Macaca fascicularis: one gene and its partners. The protein of the gene in region 4 interacts with the protein of the main gene of each other region in a pairwise test. Links are inferred from orthologs where the notes say so. Each region holds a gene or a part of one and is shown on either strand. Other genes may lie near its edges. The genes, in order: SPP1, PRPF40A, PTN and UBQLN4.

Region 1 (5,669 bases), on a different chromosome or scaffold from region 4:
AAGCATCCCAGACACATTCTTTACCTGTGATTTCACAAGACTTTTCTCTGAGAGAGGCCTTGGGACTAGGAACTTTTTGAATGAGTGTAGAAGTCCGGAAGGAGACAATAGTGTCAACCTGGGATTGCCTAAGGCAACAACAGAGCAAAACAAGAACGCTTTGGTTCTCTGGGTCTCTGTCCCTGATTGCATAATGGATCATTGTTGGGAAATATTTCCTCACCTGGCATTCCAGGAAATGGAGCGCTCTACAGCTGTATATAGTTCTGTCATTAAATGTGTTCTATCCGGCTGGAATAAGAAAATTCATAGAACCAGATTGTGGTCTGAAATCTTTTTTCAGAAATGCTGCCATCGTGTGGCACTGTGGAGCTATGACCAGAAGAGTCCTGTAAAGGGTCATATGGTTCATCTCAAGATGGTTGGGCTCCAGCATAATCTATTCCTATAATTAATTCTAGCTTCATATTGAATCATTCCCGTGGGCCAGAGTAAACTACAGTAAATCCTGTGGAAATTTTGTTGTTTTTAGAATTTTCGGACTTCCCTCCACTAAATTGACAACATGACAAGCTTATGTGGGTAATATGTTTAAAGGAAAAAAATAGTTTTTAAAAGCAGAAAAAAGAAGTCTATTTTGCAACTTTATAATCTGTGTGCTTTCTATTTTATAGAGATAGTTGTCATCTTACTTATTAAAATGGGTGCTTATTACCTACAAGCCAATAATATCAATTCATCTGGAATACATCCAATTTAAGGGAGACATATTTCCCCCTACCAAATGTTCATGAAACCTACTTATTAGCTATATACTAACACTGCAAGAAATTATTTAATCTATATTTATGTTAAAAGTAATATTTGGCAAAAAGAAGCTGACACTTTAGAACTAATAAAAACCACAATTACTTTTGCAGCAACCTAATAATAAATAGGACCATTTATTTTTCATCTTAATCACACACAAGTCTTACAATAAAGGTGTAAGGTAAATAAATAGTGCAATCTGCATTTCACAACTGAGAAAGCAGATGAAGTAATCTCAAGACAATGTTAAATATTTTAAAAGGACCCAGAGCTCTGCTATCCCTGAATATTCAGACTTCCCCTGTAATTTTCTTTTATTCAAATACGTTTTAAATACCTAGTAAAGTGTTTTTTAATCCAGAAATTTTTAAAAATCTTTTTCTTTTTAAGTAGCCTAATTTACATACCCTGGGAGAAAAACTAGAAAAAAAGATGATTCCAAAATCGAATCTGTTCCTTTAGAAATGCGCAAAATTTCCTTATTGATGCATACCATTTAAAGATCTTACATCTACTCTCATTTTAATAACCTATTCTTTTTAAAGACATTACAATTCGTGACTGCCTGCCCCTCTTAAAAATTTCATACTAGTTAACACACATACACTCCTTAAGATACGCAGGGCATTTGTATCTAATATGTGCTAAGCATTGTTAGTTTAACATACTAATTCATTTAAACCTCTCAAAAATCCCATGACCTAGGTAATAGTATCTGCATTTTATGGATGAGGAAACAAGGATAGGTAGGCTGGGCGATTTGCCCAAGGTTGCACAGGTCAGCAGTGACACAGCGGAATTCAGAGCCACAGTCTGGCTCCTGAAGCGGCCCTCTCAGGCAGTCATCCTGCTCTCAGTCAGAAACTGCTTTACTTCTGCAACATCTAGAATAAGATACCATTCTTCTCTTTTATATAGAATTTTATATTTTAATGTCACTAGTGTCTTTTGTCTAAGTAACAAGCCACTGCATACTTGAAATCACAAAGCTAAGCTTGAGTAGTAAAGGACAGAGGCAGGTTTTCTGAACTCTTTGCAGGCTTGAACAATAGCCTTCTAGAAATATAGTTCTTCAATAAGTATAATCATATAGGCAAGAGTGGTTGCAGATATTACTTTTATGTTACTTAAACTGAAAGAAACAAAACTCCTTTCTATTTAATCTTACATTAATGTTTTTCCCTACTTTCTCCCTTTTCCATGGGATCCCTAAGTGCTCTTCCTGGATGCTGAATGCCCATCCTGTAAATGAAAAAGCTAGTTAATGATACTGTACATAAGTAATGTTTTAACTGTAGATGTGTGTGTGTGCGTTTTTGTTTTTTTGTTTTAACCACAAAACCAGAGGGGGAAGTGTGGGAGCAGGTGGGCTGGGCAGTGGCAGAAAACCTCATGACACATCTCTCCGCCTCCCTGTGTTGGTGGAGGATGTCTGCAGCAGCATTTAAATTCTGGGAGGGCTTGGCTGTCAGCAGCGGGAGGAGGAGGCAGAGAGCACAGCATCGTCTGAGACCGGACTCCTGTCAGGCCAGTTGCAGCCTTCTCAGCCAAACGCCGGCCAAGGTATGCCTTCAGTTTGCTACTGGGTTGTGCATTCAGCTCAATTTCATGGGGAAGTTCAAGTTCTAAGGAAAAATATTTTTAATTGTAATGCTGTTAAACAGATTTAAATTTTCTAGCCTTTTTAATAAGCAGATTAGATACATTGCAGGTCTCCTGGAACAAAGGTGTCTAGATATTTGGAATGCCAATCAAATATAAAACTTAAAAATACTTCCACTGGGTCCTCAAAAGAACGGAAACTACTGCGGCTAATCAGAAAATAGTAAAATTCAATTCCCCTTTGGAATAATTATACCTATATCATTTTCAACGGGTGACTGCAGGAATGTAAAAGAAAAGGGATCTTTTACACTAATTAAGCCAATTACAATGCTATTTTTTAAATGATGTATCTTATTTTCAAGGGGAAGAAAACTCTTTCTGAATATGTTACTGCTAAATTTAGCTGTTAAAATATTCACCAAGATACCTGCATGACACTATGTAGGCTTATTATTACAAATAGAAAAGTTGTTGGCTATTTTCAATGTTTTCCTTTGCATTTCAAATTTTTAGAACATCTTACTTAAATAACAAATTTCAGAGATAGTTTCATTTCACCTAAGTAGCATCTACTTAATAATTTAAGCTAAAAATCACATTTAAAGTACATATTGGAAAAACGAATAAAGCAAATTTTTTTCATTTTTTTATCTGTGCTTTTTCTTCTCTAAAAAGCATTCCCATACTAGCTTATTAATAGAATTAAGTTACTGTTGATCTGTTTGTAGGTTTAGTAGAGCTAGATATATAAGGTAGTAATCGTACAATTTCTGGAACTCTAAATTTAAAAGTTGAATAAATACAGACTTGTAAAATTTCCCTTTCCCTTACCTAATAAAGATGGAGAATAGGTGGCAATATAAATATTAACTTGAAAGACCATAATACTAAAAAGAAAAGGCTTCTCTAAGAAGTAGAAAAGATTTTACAGAAAATATATTTTATTTGTGATTATTTTGTAATGTGGTAGTACAAAAAGGTACCATTGTTTTAACCTATGAGGATGTCAGCTATTCCTTATGAAATGTTTTGCAGGAAAACTCACTACCATGAGAATTGCAGTGATTTCCTTTTGCCTCTTAGGCATCGCCTATGCCCTGCCAGTGAGTACAACTGAATCTTAAAGAAAATTCCTGAAAATAACTGAATTATGTGCTTCTATGTGCTAGGAGGACATTCTTGTAATCTTTCTTCATCTTTTCTGTTTCAAAGGTTAAACAGGCTGATTCTGGAAGTTCTGAGGAAAAGCAGGTAAGCATCTTTTAGGTTTATTACATAGTGAAATCATTTACTCAATTACAGCGAGAGGCGCAACAAACATATTTGCTGCAAGATTACTTATCTTCTCAGTCAAATCTATTGGTTTACAAGTATTTATTGACTGCCTGCTATGAATCTAGGCCAGTACCAAGCACAGTATAGTTTTTAATAAATATAAGTTTGTAAAACCAACCCAGATATTTTAAATATAATAATGTCTAGGCCAGTATAGCATGTAAGATAGAGTTATACGAAGCTGTGTGACTTTTTTTCCATTAGTCCACATATTGATCTAAAAGCAGAAAATTCCAGCTTTTGCTTTATTTAGTGGATTGCTAAGTTTAAAATTCACATCAGATATTAGTCAGAACTGTTTGTATGACCATAATATTCACAATATCGTCTGAGATATTAGCTGAGAAGCCCATTGTGAAAAGAAAGTCTATGTGTGCTGTTTGTATCTATTGTGATTGTCAGCTGATGTTAGATCACATTTTCCAACCAAACATAAGACCAACCAAACTCTTTATTATAATTATTTGACCAGCACTAAAGATGTACCTACCCCTCCACAACAGATGAAACCGTGCCAACCAAACAACAAATGGGCATTGTCCCCAGCAGCTTGGACAAAAAGGCACACAGAGTTCAATTCCAGTTGAACAGAATAAAGGCCAAAATAAGAGTTGCCTTGGGGGTCACTGCAATTAGATTTCTTAATGAAGACATTAAAAGAAGTATTCTGTGTGTGTTTGTGTGTGGGGGTGTGTGTGTCTGTTTTCCAACTGATTTGAAAACACAGATGTTGACTCCTAATAATAAAGCAGAAAAATTAACATCTCCAGAGAAGATAGAGGTCATACTATTTCAGGCAAGAATTAGTGCCTTTTTAATAAATGAAAACATGGCAAAGATGCATTTTAGAAGGCACGTGGAGTCATAACAATTTAAGAAATCTAGAAGGCTCAAGGCCCAGCCTTCTAGAATCCCAGAAACTTAAAGCTAGTAAAAAATTGGGGAAGTCTCTAAGGATATATGCCTGAAAATACACACTGGTTATCTGTGAGTGTTAGGATTACTGGGTGGTTTTTAGTCTATTCATTTTGCTTACCTTTATTTTTTTCACATTAGGTTTTAAAAATTATAAATTTAATTTATAAATCCATTCTCTCCAAGCCTGTATTACATGTGTCATGAGAATAGATAGATAGATATGAAAAAGTGAAGAGAAAAACTCTGAACGCATCTAGTCCCATTGTTTCTGCATCTTCTTTTTTTTTTCTGGGACAGAGTCTCGCTCTGTCACTCTGTCGCCCAGGCTGGAGTGCAGTGGCGCAATCTCAGCTCACTATAAACTCCACCTCCTGGGTTCACGCCATTCTCCTGCCTCAGCCTCCCGAGTAGCCGGGACTACAGGTGCCCGCCACCACGTCCAGCTAATTTTTTATATTTTTAGTAGAGACGGGGTTTCACCTTGTTAGCCAGGATGGTCTCGATCTCCTGACCTTGTGATCCGCCGGCCTCAGCCTCCCAAAGTGCTGGGATTACAGGCGTGAGCCACCGCGCCCAGCTGTTTTTGCATCTTCTTAAAGCAAGGAACCCCTTCTTTCAGCAAAACCTTTCAGAGAAGCCCAGTATGAAGCCCCTCTGGTTAGAGCCAGCCATGAGAGAAACTCTAGTACTTCTGACTGGTTTTCTCTCTACCCATCTACCCCTTAGGTGGCTGCAGAAGGGACTCTGTACAACCCCCAGAGTTATTCTGAATGACAGGGACATGTAATGATTGGCCCTGAATGATTCAGCAGATCAGATGACACTTACACAGAGCAATTTCCACTCCTCTGCAGTAGCATATTATCAGTATTTTCCAGATAAATAACTTGGCTAAAGAAAAATCCATTTCATTTACATCTTTGGCACCTTAGAGCTATAGAACTTTTGTGCAATGATTTTAATATTATATTTCTGCATTGTCTGGTAAGATAGCTGCCAGA
Region 2 (5,717 bases), on a different chromosome or scaffold from region 4:
TATTTCAACTTTTATTATTTTCCTCTAATAAAATTATCAGAGGAAGAGTGGACTATGCTTCCTGCAACAGAACTCTGTGCACTACACCTGGACACAAACTTAAAAACTGAAAGGCTAATTATTTTACGTATAAAAGTAGAAATTTGGACTATGCGATAAAAATCTTTGTCCCTCAGGATTCTGTGTAGAGGAATTGGTGGACAGCACATCTTTATTTGTGGATGAAGGCCACTGAACATAGATAGCCTATTTTAATTATATGCACTTTTCACAGTCTCCTTTTAATGGTGGGTGTTTCGCCTTTTGTTTAATCTTGACAGTATTTCATCCCCCGTGTTTAAGGACTTGAAGATATTTCTTCAAGAGTACCCATTTAATCAAAAGATCTTTTTTAAAAATGGGTCTCCTGATCACGGATCAGGACGCTCCACTTACAAAAGGGCTGGAAAGCAAAGTAAGATGCAAATGAGGACTCTGGGTGAAAGCAGCTGCCACCCTGCGGGCTTAGGCAGCACGAAGGGAGAAGGGTGGTGGCAAGAGCCACACCCTGACTCAACTTTACTCTGGACAGACTTTCAAGGCCTCGGCTTCAATACCTTTCACGATCAAGTAGGCGATGGCGAGGAGGAAGGCGAGAAGGATGGCGAAGAGCAGCGAGCAGAGAATAGAAAGGACCTGGACCGGCCACCGCCGAGGCTGGGTTCTGCTGCCCGCGGCCGCGGGAAAGATACCATTGCGCTTATCTGGCAGGACAGGCGACCCGTCCCCGTCCGGCGGGAGCAGCGAGCCCTTTCTGGGCTCTGACCACGCCCCAGCCGAGAACTCCGCCCGCAGGTCGCGGGCCACTTGGTCGCATCCCTCCTCCTCGTCGACTTCGCCTTCACCCCAACTGTCCCCCTGAGTAAAGGAGGAATATGTTGGCCCAGCCACAGGGCCCGGGGTCCCGGGACGGCGGCGCCGCAGAGCCGACCGCCACCCGCTCTCCGCTAACGACATGGCGCGAAGCACAGCGAAACCCGCGGAGTATGAGCCTCTCCCACCTGCCCCGCCCCGGGTCCGCAACAGCCAATCCGCGGCCGTGGCCGCTACCACCATGCCTCAGAACCCAGGGGTAAACCACGGAGAGCAAGGTTGGGCGGCGGGTTGCAAAGGAAGTCGTAGGGCCTGAGGAGAGGTGGGATGCGCTTGGACCAGAGCTCGACCCCAGGGCTGTAGCCGGAAGGGGGAGCAGGAAAGCGCGCAGCGAGAAGTGGGCGGAGGCCGAAGGCGGCCGAGTATCCACTCCCTGCGGCGCTTCATCCCTGCCGGAGACCTCCGCCACTGCCGCGTCACCAACGGGAGCGCGAGACCCGACAGCCCCAAAGCCGCATCTTTTCGACGCCGGGTCCTAGCGCCCGCCCGCGCCTTCGACACATTCACGAACCTATTTGCCTTCTCCCTTCTTCCCCTCTACGCTCACACTCTTCTCCAGGTTCCCCTATTAAGAAAGGGCAGCTCTCTGCCTGGTACTCTCGCGGTGCCTTCACTGCTCACCCCATCTCCCTTTAGTGTGGTTCTCCCCACCCGTACCACAACTTCCCTCACGCTACTCGACACGCCTCCTTCCTCCTCCACCCAGGCGCGCGCTCTCCACCTGGTGCGTACCGAGCTCGCACCCTCTCCTCGGAACCCCTCCTTTCGCCTTCCCCGCCCCCTCCCCTCCGCCTCGAGCACTGCGCGCGCGCATTCGGTCCCAGCCACCGCTAACACTAGAGGCTGCTTACCCCCGCCCCCTCCACCCTACCCCTGGCGGCCTCAGGTTTGTGGGGCGTACGTAACTCGGGCGGGGAGGGGGAAGGTGGCAGACCCCACTGCCCCACCCCCTACGGGGTGAGGCGGTCTAAGCTCGGGAAGCTGGGACACGGTTGTCTTCCCTTCCCCTGGGGAAGTTGGTAGAGTTTTCCCGACGGAGGACTCGGCGCAGAAACTTCCTCCGTCCTCCCCCCGCCCCATGCAGGCGACGCCGAGTGAGGCTGAGGCTGCGGGCGAATCGCCGCAGAGTTGCGTGTCGGCCGCGCATTCTGATTGGACAGCGGGGAAGCCCGTCAGCCTGTTGGCCTCGCTGATCCCGCCCCGTAGCGCAGGGCAGCCTTTAACCTTTAGCCCCAGTGGGCGCCAGCCACTCAGATCGCTTCTTGTTGGTATGTGTAGCGGCAGTGGCCGCCGGCGGAGCAGTCTGAGCCCGACGATGAGGCCGGGGACGGGAGCTGAACGTGGAGGCCTCATGGTGAGTGAAATGGAGAGCCATCCTCCCTCGCAGGGTCCTGGGGACGGGGAGCGGAGATTGTCCGGCTCAAGCCTCTGCTCCGGCTCTTGGGTCTCTGCTGACGGCTTCCTGAGGAGACGGCCCTCGGTAAGGGATCAGTGGGGCAGGGGGAAGGCGGCACAATGAAAAACGGAGTGAGAGAAACAGGAAGCTTTCTCCGAAAGGAGAAGAAGATAAGAGTGGACGAAGGAAGAACTCGAGATGGTGGGATATGTTGTGAGGGAGAGAAGTGGAGGGTGGGGATGCACAAAGAAGGATGTGAGACCCTGGAAGTACCCCGTAGGCTTGGCCTAGACAGATGCGTGGTGAAGGTGCTGGCTCTTGGGCGGGGTGAGCGTCTTGGAGCTTTAGGCCCGATTTAGCTGGAAGGGGGAGGGAGGGGCTTGATTCTGTAAGACTTTAACAGCGGCTGCCAAAATTTGTTTTCATTACTTGTGGGGTCGTCTGCATGGGGAACTGTTAGGACAATTGACAGGAGATAATTAGCTGGTTTTAATTTAAAACATGGAACAATGGACTCATCGGTAAAGAAAGTAGTTGTCTTTTTAAATTGCGTTGAAAGGGATGAATTAGTTGTTTGCATTTAGTGTCCGTGAGTAACAGAACCTCAGTCTTTAAAAATGTATTTTTGACAGAAGGAATTTTACCTGTCTTAAAGGTTATGTTAGGAAATAAGTTTGTTAGGAGTGAATTGTCCCTGGGTGGCACTACTGTTTGTGTTTTATAAGACTGACTTTCACCTGAGTTAATATGATAGAGCATTTTAAAGTTTAAAATCAGTAGTGTTATAAAATAACAATAGCTGGCTATTTTTTATATTTGCATGAAATAGAAGAATTGTTGTTTTCACTGTAACAGTTTTAAGATTAGTATTCAATATGTATCCTTCAAGCTTAGCAAGCCAGTTAGTAGCTGATTAAGTCAATGCTTAAAAAAAAGAGAAAACCTATGATCCAGCTGTCCAGTAATCATCTTAACTTTTCCCGTTTTGTTGCGGAATTTGCAAGCTCGTTTTAAATACTAGCAGAATGCATTTTGTTTAAAACAAGGTATAGATTAATCCAGTGACATTATTATGCATAAGCTTAATATTAGGTTGCTTCAGATAACTGATTTGTTGAAATGAGATTTTTGAGAAGCGTTTAGTATTATTTGCTCATTTAAAAACGTTCGCTGTTTTTCAGATGGGGCACCCTGGCATGCATTATGCCCCAATGGGAATGCACCCTATGGGTCAGAGAGCGAATATGCCTCCTGTACCTCATGGAATGATGCCACAGATGATGCCCCCTATGGGAGGGCCACCAATGGGACAAGTAAGAATGCTTTTATTTTATTTTGCATTTATTTATTTGTTTTTGCCTCAGGTATTCTGTCAAGATTTCAAAATCTAGGTCAATAGTTATAGCTGTTTAAGGATTAGTTTATGCCCGAATAATTTTAAATAAGCCAAATGTTGAATCATGACTGTAATGGAAATTTGAATGTAATGAAAAAGTCTCCTGAGAAATTTACTGATTACCTCAAAACTAAGAATTTTTTTTTTATTATTACTTAAAAGTAAAGTGTGCGTCCAGGCTTTTATTTTTAATAATTATTTTTTCAACCATGCCAATTGAAGTTAATGGTCTAAAAGTAAATATTATCTGATACAGCAACATAACTGATTTTGGTAGACCATGTAAATAAATAGAATCTGAAAATAGCAATTGTTTTGGTTTAGAGCGAATTTTATTCCTGAAATATCTTCCTCTGTGTGTGTTGGAGGAGAGTGAGGGAGGGTGGGGGGTTTGTGCTCTATAATTCTGATTCTTCATAGGACAGTGCCAGTAGGTACTTCATTTTCCACTTACACTATTTTTTTTTAATGCTTATTGCTTCTACACTCCTGCTTATGAGCTGTCCCTTCCATCTCTAGCATAAATTGTAAATGGACATTTTGTAGAAGTGATTTGGATCAAAAGGTTTTAATGCTGATTCAGTGATTTCGGTAGAACTGAGTTTCTAGAGAAGCATCTAAGAAAGGTAACAGGTTCAGTTACCATGAGTAATTTTGTGCTCCATGTTAAGTTCTATATAGATCTTTAGGTGGCTGGGTTATTTCCATTTGAGTATTTCCATAAATCATCAAAAATTTAGGCTAACAAAATATTTTGGAAGCCAATTTCATGTGATCTTTTGCTAATTAGTACTGTTTGATAATTGTTTAAGCTTTCATGGTTAAAGTTATTGGTGAAATTGCAGTGGGAAAAGGAGCTTGCTATGTGTCTGTCTCTTTTTACTTAACCTTAAGAGTAGAAGGGCTTAATGTCAAGTGATTTTCCTCTTTTTTTTTTAATTTGGAATGTTGCCCTTAATTTTGTTTAAAAAAAAAAAAAAAAACCTTTATTCAAAGACACCAGCCCCAAAAGATTCTGCTTGCAGGAGTTCTTTAAATAAAAGAGCCTTTTATTCTGTGACTTTAGAATAACACAAATTTTAAAACTCTCTAGGTGATGGAGAAACAACTTTGATTCCTCTTCTGTTTCTTTCCATCTCTAAGCAGCAAGGAGCTCTTCTTGTTTTCTTGGTAGAGCTGCTCTAACTAGATAATGAGCTTTAAAAATATTTATTCTTTAAATGCTCTGGTTCTTATTTAAAATTAGTTTCTTTCCACAGAAAGATAAAATAAAACAATTTGCTACTGCCAGATGCTTCTCTCTTTTCTGGGGCCTTCTGTTTCCATTGGGCCAATCAAGGTAAGTTTTGCAAGGGATTGACCTGCTTACCCTTGCTGTAATGGTGCTATTGCACTACCAAAACCAAGATACCAGCTAGTCATATTTCTAGTAAAAAAAAAAAAAAAAAAAATGCAGATTTTATTTTTTAAAAGTACTTTCATGTATCTCATTGACATAAGCTGGTCACAGTTTGCTTTATGGCCCTTTCTCTGTAGCTATATCAGTGACCATCTTTCTAGTAAGTTTACTTGGTATACATCCATTCAAATAACTGATTTTTTTTGTGTTGTTTCCTTCTACTTTTTCCTAGGCTAATAATACGCCATGTGCCTTTAAGTAGACCTAATTATTTAGATGTTTAGAATTCTTCTCCCTCTGAAGGCTCCTGTTAGTATAATAAATAAATGTTTTAGTAGGAGTTATGCTCTGAAAGTCCCAAAAGAATCTCCACTGTTTTTGTAAGATTTATATAATTCCCTTTTGCTAACAAATATGGGGCCCAAATCTTGGGGAAAAAAAAATTCTTACTTTAGCTTTAAAACGGACTGGGAGAGCATGGATAATTTGAATTCTCAAATCGGAAATCTTACTTGAAACTCTGTAAACATTGCTTTAAAAATTAAAGGTGATAATAAATAGCACAATTGGTCTTTTTCCTGCATTATTTCTTCTGCCACTCTCAGAAGTACTCA
Region 3 (5,187 bases), on a different chromosome or scaffold from region 4:
CATGATTACTTTTGCACCAATCTAATATAATAAGAATTTAGCCTCAGGAGGAAGACCAAAGCACCTTATCTTATATTGTAGAAAGTGCTGGAGATGGTGAGTAGCTAATCTAGGCTTGTGATTCAGGGAAAAAACTAAAGGTTCAAAATATTAATTTTAATTGATAAGTGAAGTATGCTTCATCAATATGCTGGAATTCAAAGTCATCAGTTTTAAAAAACAACACTAATTTACATTCCCACCAACAGTGTAAAAGTGCTCTTATTTCTCCACAGTCTTGCCAGCATCTATTATTTCTTGACTTTTTAATAATTGCCATTCTGATTGGCATGAGATGGAATCTCATTGTGGTTTTGATTTGCATTTCTCTAATGATCAGTGATGTTGAGCTCTTTTTCATGCTTGTTTGCTGCATAAATTTCTTCTTTTGACAAGTATCTGTTCATATCCGTTGCCCACTTTTTGATGTTTTTTAAAAATAAATTTGTTTAAGTTCCTTGTAAATTCTGGAAATTACAGAATTTAAGTTCAACCATTGTGGAAGACAGTATGGTGATTCCTCAAGGATCTAGAACCAGAAATACCATTTGATCCAGCCATCCCATTACTGAGTATATACCCAAAGGAATATAAATTATTTTACTATAAAGACACATGCACACGTATGTTTATTGCAGCACTATTTACAATAGCAAAGTCATTGAACCAACCTAAATGCCCATCAATGATAGACTGGATAAAGAAAATTTGGTACATATGTACCGTGGAATACTAGGTGACGATAACAAGGAATGAGATCATGTCCTTTGCAGAGACATGGGTGAAGCTGGAAGCCATCGTCCACAGCAAACTAATACAGGAACAGGAAACCAAACACTGCATGTTCTCACTCATAACTGGGAGTTGAATATTGAGAAGACACGGACACAGGGAGGGGAACAACACATTCCAGGACCTGTTTAGGGGTGGGGGGTGAGGGGAGGGAACTTAGAAGACCGGTCAGTAGGTGCAGCCAACCACCATGGCACATGTATACCTATGTAACAAACCTGCATGTTCTGCACATGTATCCCAGAACTTAAAGTAAAATTATAAATAAATAAATAAATAAATAAATAAATAAAAATAACACTAATAAGAGGCAGCATATCCAATGCCACAGAAAAGTAGGAAAATTCACTGGCAAGGATATCACCTCATAGATATTTTTGAATGAGAAAAATAAATTAGAGAACAGAATAACCTCAATCCCTTATATACATGAAATGTTTTATTGTTCACACTAAAGAGAATGTTAAAACACGTAAACTAATCTATTACTACTTCTGGAAAAAAATTTATCAGCCTGTGACCATAGGTCATTACTACCATTTTTACATAAAGTGTAAAACACCACTAACACAGCAAATGGAGCTCAATAACTGCCAGGCAAGTTGCTGCAGCCATAGTTTGGTATAGCCATTGGGAAGTGGGTTGTCCTGGAGGTTGGACTAGACCTTCTCAAGGGTGTTTTGGCCAAGTAACCATATTGACACTAGGCTGTCACAGGTGGCTTCAAGTTCTAGGAGAGTCTTTCCAATGATATCTTGGGATTTCTGATTCACATCAAATGTGAGCATTTCCTATTATGAGTGAGTGTGAAGACTTTACCATATCTTAACATTTGAGGATTTTTAGCACGTGTGAGTTTATAAGTGTGTTTGATATGTGTCACAGGTGTGCTAGCTCTACTTCTGGGATTCACTCTTTGGTAGATCAATAAGTAATGGAATAGTGATAAAATGATAGTGATGATTATGACAATGATTTTAAAAAGGTCAGAGATATTGGTTGTTTTGTATGCATCTAAATAGAATCAGTAAACATATATTTGTATAGGTAATTCATTCATCATGTCTACTCAGATTGGTCTTGTGTACTGTGATGCCTTTGCTGTGGTTGTTTCTAAGATTGTCAGAAATTTTGAAGATGGCTATAGTTGTCGATATTACCAAGTGATGCTATCAGCAAGGCTGTAGAACTGTGTTCAAATGCATGCCTTCAAAGTTCTTTTGCTTCCATAATTTCTGAGTCATACTTAGCAAATGGTTGTGAAGTCTTATGTGAAGAACTGTTGCATTTTGTCAGTGAATACGTGATTGATTGCAGAAGAGCACTTATTTCAATGGCTGTTGGTGAGAATAGATGAAATTCTACCCAAGATAATTGATATGAATCTTCCTGAAATCTAACATTCCAGAAATGGAAAGTGGAGCCTTTCATCAAGGGGTTCAATGAGTCTTCCTCTCTGACTTAGGTTAATGCCACCTTCTTCTCTTTCTCTGTTTATTCCTAGAATGCAGGCTCAACAGTACCAGCAGCAGCGTCAAAAATTTGCAGCTGCCTTCTTGGCATTCATTTTCATACTGGCAGCTGTGGATACTGCTGAAGCAGGGAAGAAAGAGAAACCAGGTAAGCAGTAGGGTTCTGAAGGCAAGATGCTTCATTGATTAATGTCCATCTAGCCTAATTACCTGCTTTTCCTTCATCTCTTCTACTCTGCCTCTCTCCCTTCCTATTCCTGTATTCCTTCAATCTTCCCTTTTTAAAAATAATTATTTAGAGGAACCTAAGAAATATCCTGTCTCCCATTGCAAGTCCTGGATTGCATGACGATGATGGTCATTAATATAATGATCAAATTAGCAGCTACTATGTATAGAACATTGACCAGCAATCAGGTGCTTTATTATGTTACCTCTCTACCTCAAAAAAAAAAAATGCACTGCAACTTGTTTTTCTCCTTAATTTCAGATTTACAGAGGAGGAAACTGAGGCACAGAGAAGCTAAAGCACCTTCTCTACGCCACTCTCAAAGTCATAAGTAGGCTGTGGAACTGACAGTCTGTTTAAATCTGTGATCCACCATATATGTATGATGTCATTCCTTCTACAAGACAGAGAAAGGAACAATAACTTGCACTGAAATGGCTCATTTGACAACTGTTATTTCTTTCTTTTTTTTTTTTTTGAGATGGAGTCTTGCTCTGCCACCAGGCTGGAGTGCAGTGGTGCAATCTCAACTCACTGTATCCTCCATCTCCCGCAATTCTCTTGCCTCAGCTTCCAAAGTAGCTGGGGCTACAGGCATGCACCACCACGCCCAGCTTATTTTTGTATTTTTAGTAGAGTTGGGGTTTCACTATGTTAGCCAGGATGGTCTCGATCTCTTGACCTTGTGATCTGCCTGCCTCAACCTCCCAAAGTGCTGGGATTACAGGCATGAGCCACTGGGCCCGGCTGACAACTGTCATTTCTAATAGAATATTTTCTCAATTTTTAGGCTTAACTATTTTTGATCATCTCTTCTTTTATAGAAATATTTGCTTCTAAAAGGAGATGCCACTAAGTCACTTAGCAAAGTCTCTGGCACATAGTAAGAGGGAGTTAAATTAATACTAGTTTTAGCTCTTTTCTCAGTTTTCTTTCTCTCTTCTCTTGATCATTCTTTGGTTCAATACTTTGGTTAATATTCGTCATATTTCTATTATTCACTGGACAATAAGGATAGAGATTTAAAAAAACACACAGATCCTACAATTAAGGTTCTCAGGAATGAACTTGGTTATATCTGGAAGTTAAGGAGTTTTCTGTATGTTGATTAGGTTTTCTTCCTTTCATTCAGAAAAAAAAGTGAAAAAGTCTGACTGTGGAGAATGGCAGTGGAGTGTGTGTGTGCCCACCAGTGGAGACTGTGGACTGGGCACGCGGGAAGGCACTCGGACTGGAGCCGAGTGCAAGCAAACCATGAAGACCCAGAGATGTAAGATCCCCTGCAACTGGAAGAAGCAATTTGGAGGTAAGCTTCATGCTACTGAGTTAATCTCCTACCCTAAGATAATTCTCAAATTTTTCCACCAAATGTCTTTTTAAGGATGAGTACTTTTTATTTTAAATAACTTTATCTTATCAGACACAAAGTGACCAGATATCTTTCCCAACCCCAGTGTTTCTCAACTTTGACACTGGTCCCATTTCAGGCCAGGCAATTCTTTGTTGTGGAGGTTGTCTTGTGCATTTTAGGGTATTTAGCAGCATCCCCGGCTTCTACTCACTAGTTTCCAGTAGGATTCCTCACCCACTCCAGATGTGAAAACTAAAAATGTCTCCAAATATCTATGGCCAAATGTCTCCTTGTGGTCAAAATCATCCCTGATTGGGAACCACTGCCTTTCCAAAGGGACATAAAATATATCCTTGATTCCTCCTAATAATGTTCGTTGATATATCTTCTCTCTCCTTTCTTCTATTTCTAAGTTCCTTTGATTTCTCCTTTCCCCTTTTCTTGTTTATTCCCCTTCTTCTCCATGTCCCTCCCTGTCACTTTCAGGCCTTCTCTCTCATTTGATCCCTCCCCACCCTCCACACAGGTTCACAGATTCACTTATTGAGTCCAGCAGGGCTGCTCACAGTCACTTTTCATAGATCTTTCTCCCACTGGCTAGAGTCAGTCTTATGCTGGCCTGATCTATCTATCTGAGACAGGATCTGTCAACACTTTCAACTTTATATCCAATATTGAACCCTCAAATAACCTCTTTCTTCCACGATCCAGAGTTTTTGTCTTTGGGGACATGATTCCTGAAATGTCCTACCTGTGTTCTGTGGAAATGCACTGTGGCCCATAGACAAGTGAGGAAGAACAATGGATGTATACACGTACATCTTTTTCTCCCTCTGTAATCTTTGGGGTATTTTCTATTTGAATGGAGATAGATAAGTTCTATAAAAGTGTGATGGAGAACAGGTACATTTGGTCTTAAACTGTATCTGGGTACCTCAAAAACCTATTTTCAAAAAGTTTAAACGGTCTATCTTAAAGACTTATATTGAAAATATTAAATAACTCTCAAATTCAACAGTAAACAACAAAACAACAGCAACAAAAACAAAACAACAAAACAAAACAAACAAAACTTAACAGTTCAGTAAGAAAGTGGGGAAAAAACATTAACAGACCTTTTACCAAAGAGGATATATAGGCAACAAATGAATTCCTGAAAATGTATTCAACATCTTTTCCTTATTAGGGAACTAGAAATTGAAACCATAATGAGAGATCACTCTACATCTATAAAAGTGGCTAGAATAAAAAATAGTGACAAGACGAAATGCTAGTGAGGGTGCAGGGAAACCAGATCCCTTATA
Region 4 (5,793 bases):
GCTGAGAGAGGTTAAGCGACTTACCCAAGGTTCCACAACTGATAAGTGGATGGCTGAGACCAGAACCCAAGTCAGACCTCTCAGGTCCAGGGCTCCTTCCTCACCACCACTTGATGAATAGGGTCCTGCCTATTACAAATGCTGCTGCAGACCAACTCTTAGTAATCTTCCGGAGATCCTGTCCCTGCCCCTCCAACCATCCAGGATGGGGTCCAGGTCGCCCCCTTGGGATCCCCTTGGGGGACAGGGGAAGTCTGGCTCCCCTCTCCATACCATGCAGTCCATGAGGATGAATTTGAGATTGTCTTCATTAAATGCTTGGTTCCCGTTCCGGTCGTAGGCGGCCCAGATGTTACTGGCTATGGCAGCGGTGACCCGGGCGTCAGTGTCCCCGTAACCAGAGTAGGCCAGCAGTGATCCCTCGTTATTCAGCAGCCTGGTGAGGGGCGGGGAGGGATAACGATGTGCTCAGCGCGGGGAGTAAAACGTCTGGGTTTCCATCTCAAGTCCCGCCACGGGCACATCCAGCAAGGCTCTCGGCTGAGTGTGTCCCGGAACGTGCCCTAAGCACCCAGCACACCGGCCTCCCTTTTCGAGAGGTGACCTCCCGGCCGGTACCCCCAGCCACTGCCCCCTCTGACGCCTCCTCCCTTCCGGGCGATCCTTCCCCACCCCTCCCTCAGGGAGTCGCACGCCGCTCCACTGCAGCGCGCGCCGCTGGGGTCCGTGGTCCGCACTCACAGGGTGCTCTGGACGCCTCCAGTGTTGGCTTGGCTTAGCACCTGGGTCAAAGCCTTGGGGCGCAGCATGCCTACCGCTCCTAACCCTGGGTTTTTGCACCCAGATCCTCCGAGATGCCTCCCGCGGGCCGCTGCCCGCTGCTTCCCGTAGTCCCGTTGGCCTGCTCCGGGATGCCCTGGGAGTTGTAGTTTCCTCGCCTGGCTATTGTGGTTCCGACTCAACACCGCCCCGCCGCGGGGGTCTCTGGGAATCGTAGTTCCTCGTGACCTCGCGAGGCACCATGGGAACTATAGTTCGCCTTTCCAGGCGGACCACGCGGTTGTGGGGGCGGAAAAGAGCGGGAGTGAAAGGACAGCTGCAGCGCTGGAAGGACATTTAACCCCTTCGGGGAGAAAGGAATCAACGTGTCCGCTTGGCAGTCCACGATTCAATAATTATACTACATCCTCATATTTGTCAGGCACGCCTTTGGTTACTTTCAAAACAGTTTTCTCCGTTATGCACAATTCTGTGCGATGAGGCGAGAGGTACTATTATTATCTTGAGGAAATCAAGGCTCTGAAAGGCCACGCAGCCAAAACCCAGCTCCCTGGAACCGTTCGCAACAGACCATTTAGGCCGCGACCCTCGGGGCTATAGGGTCAGTCCTAGAGCTGAGATCCTAAGTGGACGTGCTTGGTGGGAAAACCCAACCTCCAAGTCGGGAAAGGCCCCTGGCCTGGAAGGGACTTGGGGCTTCCAAGAAAGACCAAGTTATCACAGGGAACGGAGATAAAGCGGCGACACACAAAGTCCTTTGTCCCGGAGCAGAGTTAGCCGCGGAGGGGGCGGGGAGGCTTTGGGCCGGAGGGGACGGCGGCACGGCTCGGGCGAGCAGCGTTGGGCCGCGGTCTCCCGGGGAGTTCGCCCTCGCCCCCGCAGTGAAGGGCACGTCCCTTCCCCCGCCCAGAGCCTCCCCAGGAGCCCCAGCTTGGCGAGACCCTGGCCGGATTCCGGACCTGGGGCTTGGCCCTGGGCGGACCCCGCTGCAGTGGCCCCCCCGGTCCGCCCGGGGCGCTGTGGCTGCGGCTGGTCTGGAGGGGGCGGTGAAGCCTCTGGGAGGGGAGGGGAGAGGAGGGGAGGGGAGGGGAGGGGAGAGGTGGAGAGAGGGGAGTGTTGGAGGCGCAGGAGCCGAGCCGGGCCGGCCGGGCGGGCGGGGAGGAGGAGGAGCCGGGCGGGCTGGCGGGCGGCCGGGTGGCGGCGGCGGCATGGCGGAGCCGAGCGGGGCCGAGACGAGGCCCCCTATTCGGGTCACCGTCAAGACCCCTAAGGACAAGGAGGAAATTGTGATCTGCGATCGAGCCTCGGTCAAGGAGGTAGTACAGCAGGCGGGAGGCGGGGGGAGCGCGGAGGAGGGGTCTGCGAAGAGATGGGGGCCTCCCTGACGGTCTGGCGTCCTGGAGGGCCCCGGAGAGGAGAGCGGGGGCCAGCTGGGACTCCGAGGAGCTGAAGGGAAGGAGAGTCGGGTAGGGGGCGCCCTGCGAGGGGAGATATTGGGGAGCGTGGCGCGTGTTGGGGGGCGGGTTTTGCCTTGTGGCCTGGGCTGGGGGCGTGGTGGAGAGTGAGGAGGGGACACCTTGCACCAGGAAGGGGGAAGGACCCTGGGTTTGAGGGGAGTGTGCCGGAGTGGGGGCCCAGGGAAGGTGCTAACCGAGAGAACGGGCCGGGGGCAGGCGGAGAGCGCCGGCGCCTACTCTGTACCTCAGAGAACGCCCAGTGTTCTCTGAGCGACGGGGCTGTCGGGGGAGGATTTCCCTGTGCCCAGATCCTTCCCACTCTTTGAAATCGACGTGGTTACATTTGGTTCTCAGCTCTTCTGAGATTTACACGGTGTGCAGTAGGTGCTCAATAAAATCTTGTTGAATGAGGGACTGTTGCCTGTGCTTGCCACCCACTGTGGCCGCTCCATAATTTCACATAGGCGGGGCTTAAGATAGGCCATCTGGTTGGAAGAGAGGGATCTGGAAGCTGCCTCTGCTTAACAAGTGCACTGTTTCTACTTAAAGTGTGTGTTGTGTTTTGTTTTGTGTTGTGTTTTGGAAGGGCTGGTAGAATTTGGGAAGTCTAACTCCATCCTTGCTCCCTCCCTAACCACATAGAATTACTAAATTTCAGAATTTAAATACTGTACTGTTCCCTGCAAAGCTGAATTTGAAAATGGCTATCATTGAGAGACTGTATGTTTAGTTAAGAGCCTGGACTTCGGTGTCAAGACCTGAGTTCTGGTCTGCCTGTGGCAAGTTACCTTACCTCACTGATCCTCAGTTTTCTCATCTTTAAAATGGAGATAAGGCTGGGCGTGGTGGCTCACGCCTGTAATCCCAGCACTTTGAAGAGTTGTAGTTGGGTGGATCCCCTGAGGTCAGGAGTTCAAGACCAGCCTGACTAACATGGTGAAACCCCATCCCTACTAGAAATACAATTAGCCAGGCATGGTGGTGTGTGCCTGTAGTCCCAGACACTCGGGAGGCTGAAGCAGGAGAATCACTTGAACCCAGGAGACAGAGGTTGCAGTGAGCCGAGATTGCGCCACTGCACTCCAGCCTGGGCTACAGAGCCAGACTCCATCTCAAGATAAAAGTAATAATAAAATAAAATGAAGATGATAATTACTATACTATATCTTTAACTCGTGAATAGATAGTGCTCAACAACTGACATCTATTTGTTGTAGTTGTTACGAGAATGCTGGGAATAGAGAGGAGAGAAAATTGGGTCTCAGAAGGCTGAAAGTCCAAGGCTGTTGAAGGAGTTGGGGTGGGGGGAGGCTGCCCTGCCTCACAGAGAACTAGTTGGAGGGACTGAAGCTGGGAGGCAGATGGCAGCAAGAGCTTTCTCAGGTGGGAGACTCTGGGATGGAGCTAAGAGAAGAGCCTCTCACTGGTTCATCTCCTTTGTTAAGAAAGGAGATGCTTATTGCAGCTGGAGGAATGGCATCGAGACTACAGAAAGGACTTCCCATGACTAGAGATGAGAGCAAGAGAGTACAGAAGCTGTTGAAGAAGAGTCAGGGTCCCTGGTAGGGGGAGTCCAGGCAGCCTCCACAGTGACCTCTGCCTCTTGATCACAGTTCAAAGAGGAAATCTCCCGGAGGTTTAAGGCTCAGCAGGATCAGCTGGTCCTGATCTTCGCAGGCAAGATCCTCAAGGATGGGGACACACTGAACCAGCACGGAATCAAGGACGGGCTCACTGTCCATCTGGTCATCAAGACCCCTCAGAAGTAAGTTCAGGAGCAGAGCAGATCCAGCTTCTGATTGGGCCTCCCCATTTAATACTTTCTCACTCATTGCTAGACCGTACCCAGAGGGCCTAAGCTGAGGCCCAGGCAGGTAGCTCCTGGATGAATATGATCTCCTCTCTAGGGGAAGGGAACCTGATTTACCACTCCCAGAATGCCCTGAAGACAGATAATACTAGCTCCTTTCTCCCTCTGCTGGTTTACTGACTGCCCTCCAGCCATCACCCCACTCCAGCCTCAGGGCTGCTAGGAGGGGGCTTGAGTTAAAATAGTAGTCCCACGGCAAGCACAGAGATTGTCGAGGTACCTTCCCTCTTCTAGTGCTCACTCCAACAGGATTCTCCTTTCTCTGTCCTCAGGGCTCAAGATCCAGCTGCTGCCACTGCTTCTTCCCCCTCCACACCTGACCCTGCCTCAGCACCCTCCACCACGCCTGCTTCACCCGCCACCCCTGCCCAGCCCTCCACCTCTGGCAGTGCCTCTTCAGATGCTGGCAGTGGAAGCCGGAGGAGCAGTGGTGGGGGGCCCTCTCCAGGGGCTGGGGAGGGACCCCCCAGTGCTACTGCATCCATACTCTGTAAGCCCTCAGAGAGGAGAGCACACTCTTGTTTGGGGTTGGAGAGTTGGGGAAAGCCAAGAGGAGGAAGAAACAGGAGTTCCTGATCCTGGTCTGGTGGGATAGGGGACCTCATGACGTAGAGTTCCAGACATTGATACTTGATTCAAGTTGGGGAAGAAACTAGTCTGAGGAGTTCTCAGAGGTGGGGATCATGGCTAAGGGTTAGGAGTGAGGGCAGAAATGGGGTTGGGGATGTGGGGAACCCTAGGTAGAGAATGGAAGACTGTGAGTCTGGGGAAAAGTTAGATCCAGCAGTAGCCAGATGGGCCACTCATTCAACAGACCATTGCTGGTTGCCTTCTCTCTGCTCAGTTCTATGTTTGGTGCAGCCTCAGCCTTCAGAGAGGCCTCAGTCTAGTAGGCTCACATTTTTTTGCCAGCAGTGGATCAGGGCTGGGCTGTGGGAATGATTGGAAGAGGAACATGTGAGAAGCATTTGGGGCCTGTCCTGGAGATCCAAATTCAGTGGCTCTGGCTAAGTGAGGACAGGGATCTTGTGGCAGACTGTGACCCTGCCCCCCTCCCACAGCTGGCTTTGGGGGCATCCTGGGGCTGGGCAGCCTGGGCCTGGGCTCTGCCAACTTCATGGAGCTGCAGCAGCAGATGCAGAGGCAGCTGATGTCCAATCCTGAGATGCTGTCGCAGATCATGGAGAACCCCCTGGTCCAGGATATGATGTCTAACCCTGACCTGATGCGTCACATGATCATGGCCAACCCCCAGATGCAGCAGCTGATGGAGCGGAACCCTGAGATCAGCCACATGCTCAACAACCCTGAACTCATGAGGCAGGTGAGTATGAGAGGGCTAGAGAGCTGGAGGACGCTGGTGCCCAGCCATGCCCTGCCCAGCCTTTCCATACATTGATTTGTTCATTCATGTATTCAGCAGTTTTGAACACTGGAGGTACAGGGATGAAAAGACAGGCCTAGCTCTTCAGGAATTCCAGGTGTCAAAGGGAAGTGGGACAAGTAAACCAGCAATTAGAATACAATGTGGTCAGTGCTATCATAAGGATAATCAGGGAATCCTCTAGGGGCATAGAGAAGAGCTCCTGGCCCTACCCTGAGGCTTAGAGGAGGCCTTAAGAGATGTCACCAAGCTGAGACCCAAAGGAGGAAGACGAACCGGGGGAAAAAAGAGAAGAGCATTCA

What was found.
Region 1: the proteins of UBQLN4 (region 4) and SPP1 interact in a two-hybrid assay, tested with the Homo sapiens proteins (2 studies listed by BioGRID and IntAct). The link is inferred for Macaca fascicularis from reciprocal best matches to the Homo sapiens genes UBQLN4 and SPP1.
Region 2: the proteins of UBQLN4 (region 4) and PRPF40A interact in a two-hybrid assay, tested with the Homo sapiens proteins (2 studies listed by BioGRID and IntAct). The link is inferred for Macaca fascicularis from reciprocal best matches to the Homo sapiens genes UBQLN4 and PRPF40A.
Region 3: the proteins of UBQLN4 (region 4) and PTN interact in a two-hybrid assay, tested with the Homo sapiens proteins (2 studies listed by BioGRID and IntAct). The link is inferred for Macaca fascicularis from reciprocal best matches to the Homo sapiens genes UBQLN4 and PTN.

What each region holds. Positions count from the first base shown.
Region 1 is NC_088379.1:93,529,505-93,535,173, forward strand, and holds the start of SPP1 (osteopontin), read left to right. Parts: upstream 1-2,283; 5' UTR 2,284-2,373; intron 2,374-3,450; 5' UTR 3,451-3,464; coding exon 3,465-3,518; intron 3,519-3,627; coding exon 3,628-3,666; intron 3,667-5,669. UniProt on the Homo sapiens protein: Major non-collagenous bone protein that binds tightly to hydroxyapatite. Appears to form an integral part of the mineralized matrix. Probably important to cell-matrix interaction.
Region 2 is NC_088386.1:48,222,583-48,228,299, reverse strand, and holds the start of PRPF40A (pre-mRNA-processing factor 40 homolog A), read left to right. Parts: upstream 1-1,807; 5' UTR 1,808-1,990; coding exon 1,991-2,266; coding exon of another isoform or gene 2,267-2,392; intron 2,393-3,489; coding exon 3,490-3,621; intron 3,622-4,963; exon of another isoform or gene 4,964-4,995; coding exon of another isoform or gene 4,996-5,043; intron 5,044-5,717. Other genes in the region: ARL6IP6 (ADP-ribosylation factor-like protein 6-interacting protein 6), read right to left, coding at 597-996.
Region 3 is NC_088377.1:178,926,687-178,931,873, reverse strand, and holds part of PTN (pleiotrophin), read left to right. Parts: intron 1-2,335; coding exon 2,336-2,451; intron 2,452-3,664; coding exon 3,665-3,838; intron 3,839-5,187.
Region 4 is NC_088375.1:105,029,257-105,035,049, forward strand, and holds the start of UBQLN4 (ubiquilin-4), read left to right. Parts: upstream 1-1,874; 5' UTR 1,875-1,988; coding exon 1,989-2,096; intron 2,097-3,682; exon of another isoform or gene 3,683-3,850; coding exon 3,851-4,002; intron 4,003-4,379; coding exon 4,380-4,597; intron 4,598-5,168; coding exon 5,169-5,431; intron 5,432-5,793. Other genes in the region: ragulator complex protein LAMTOR2, read right to left, coding at 274-436, 742-809. UniProt on the Homo sapiens protein: Regulator of protein degradation that mediates the proteasomal targeting of misfolded, mislocalized or accumulated proteins.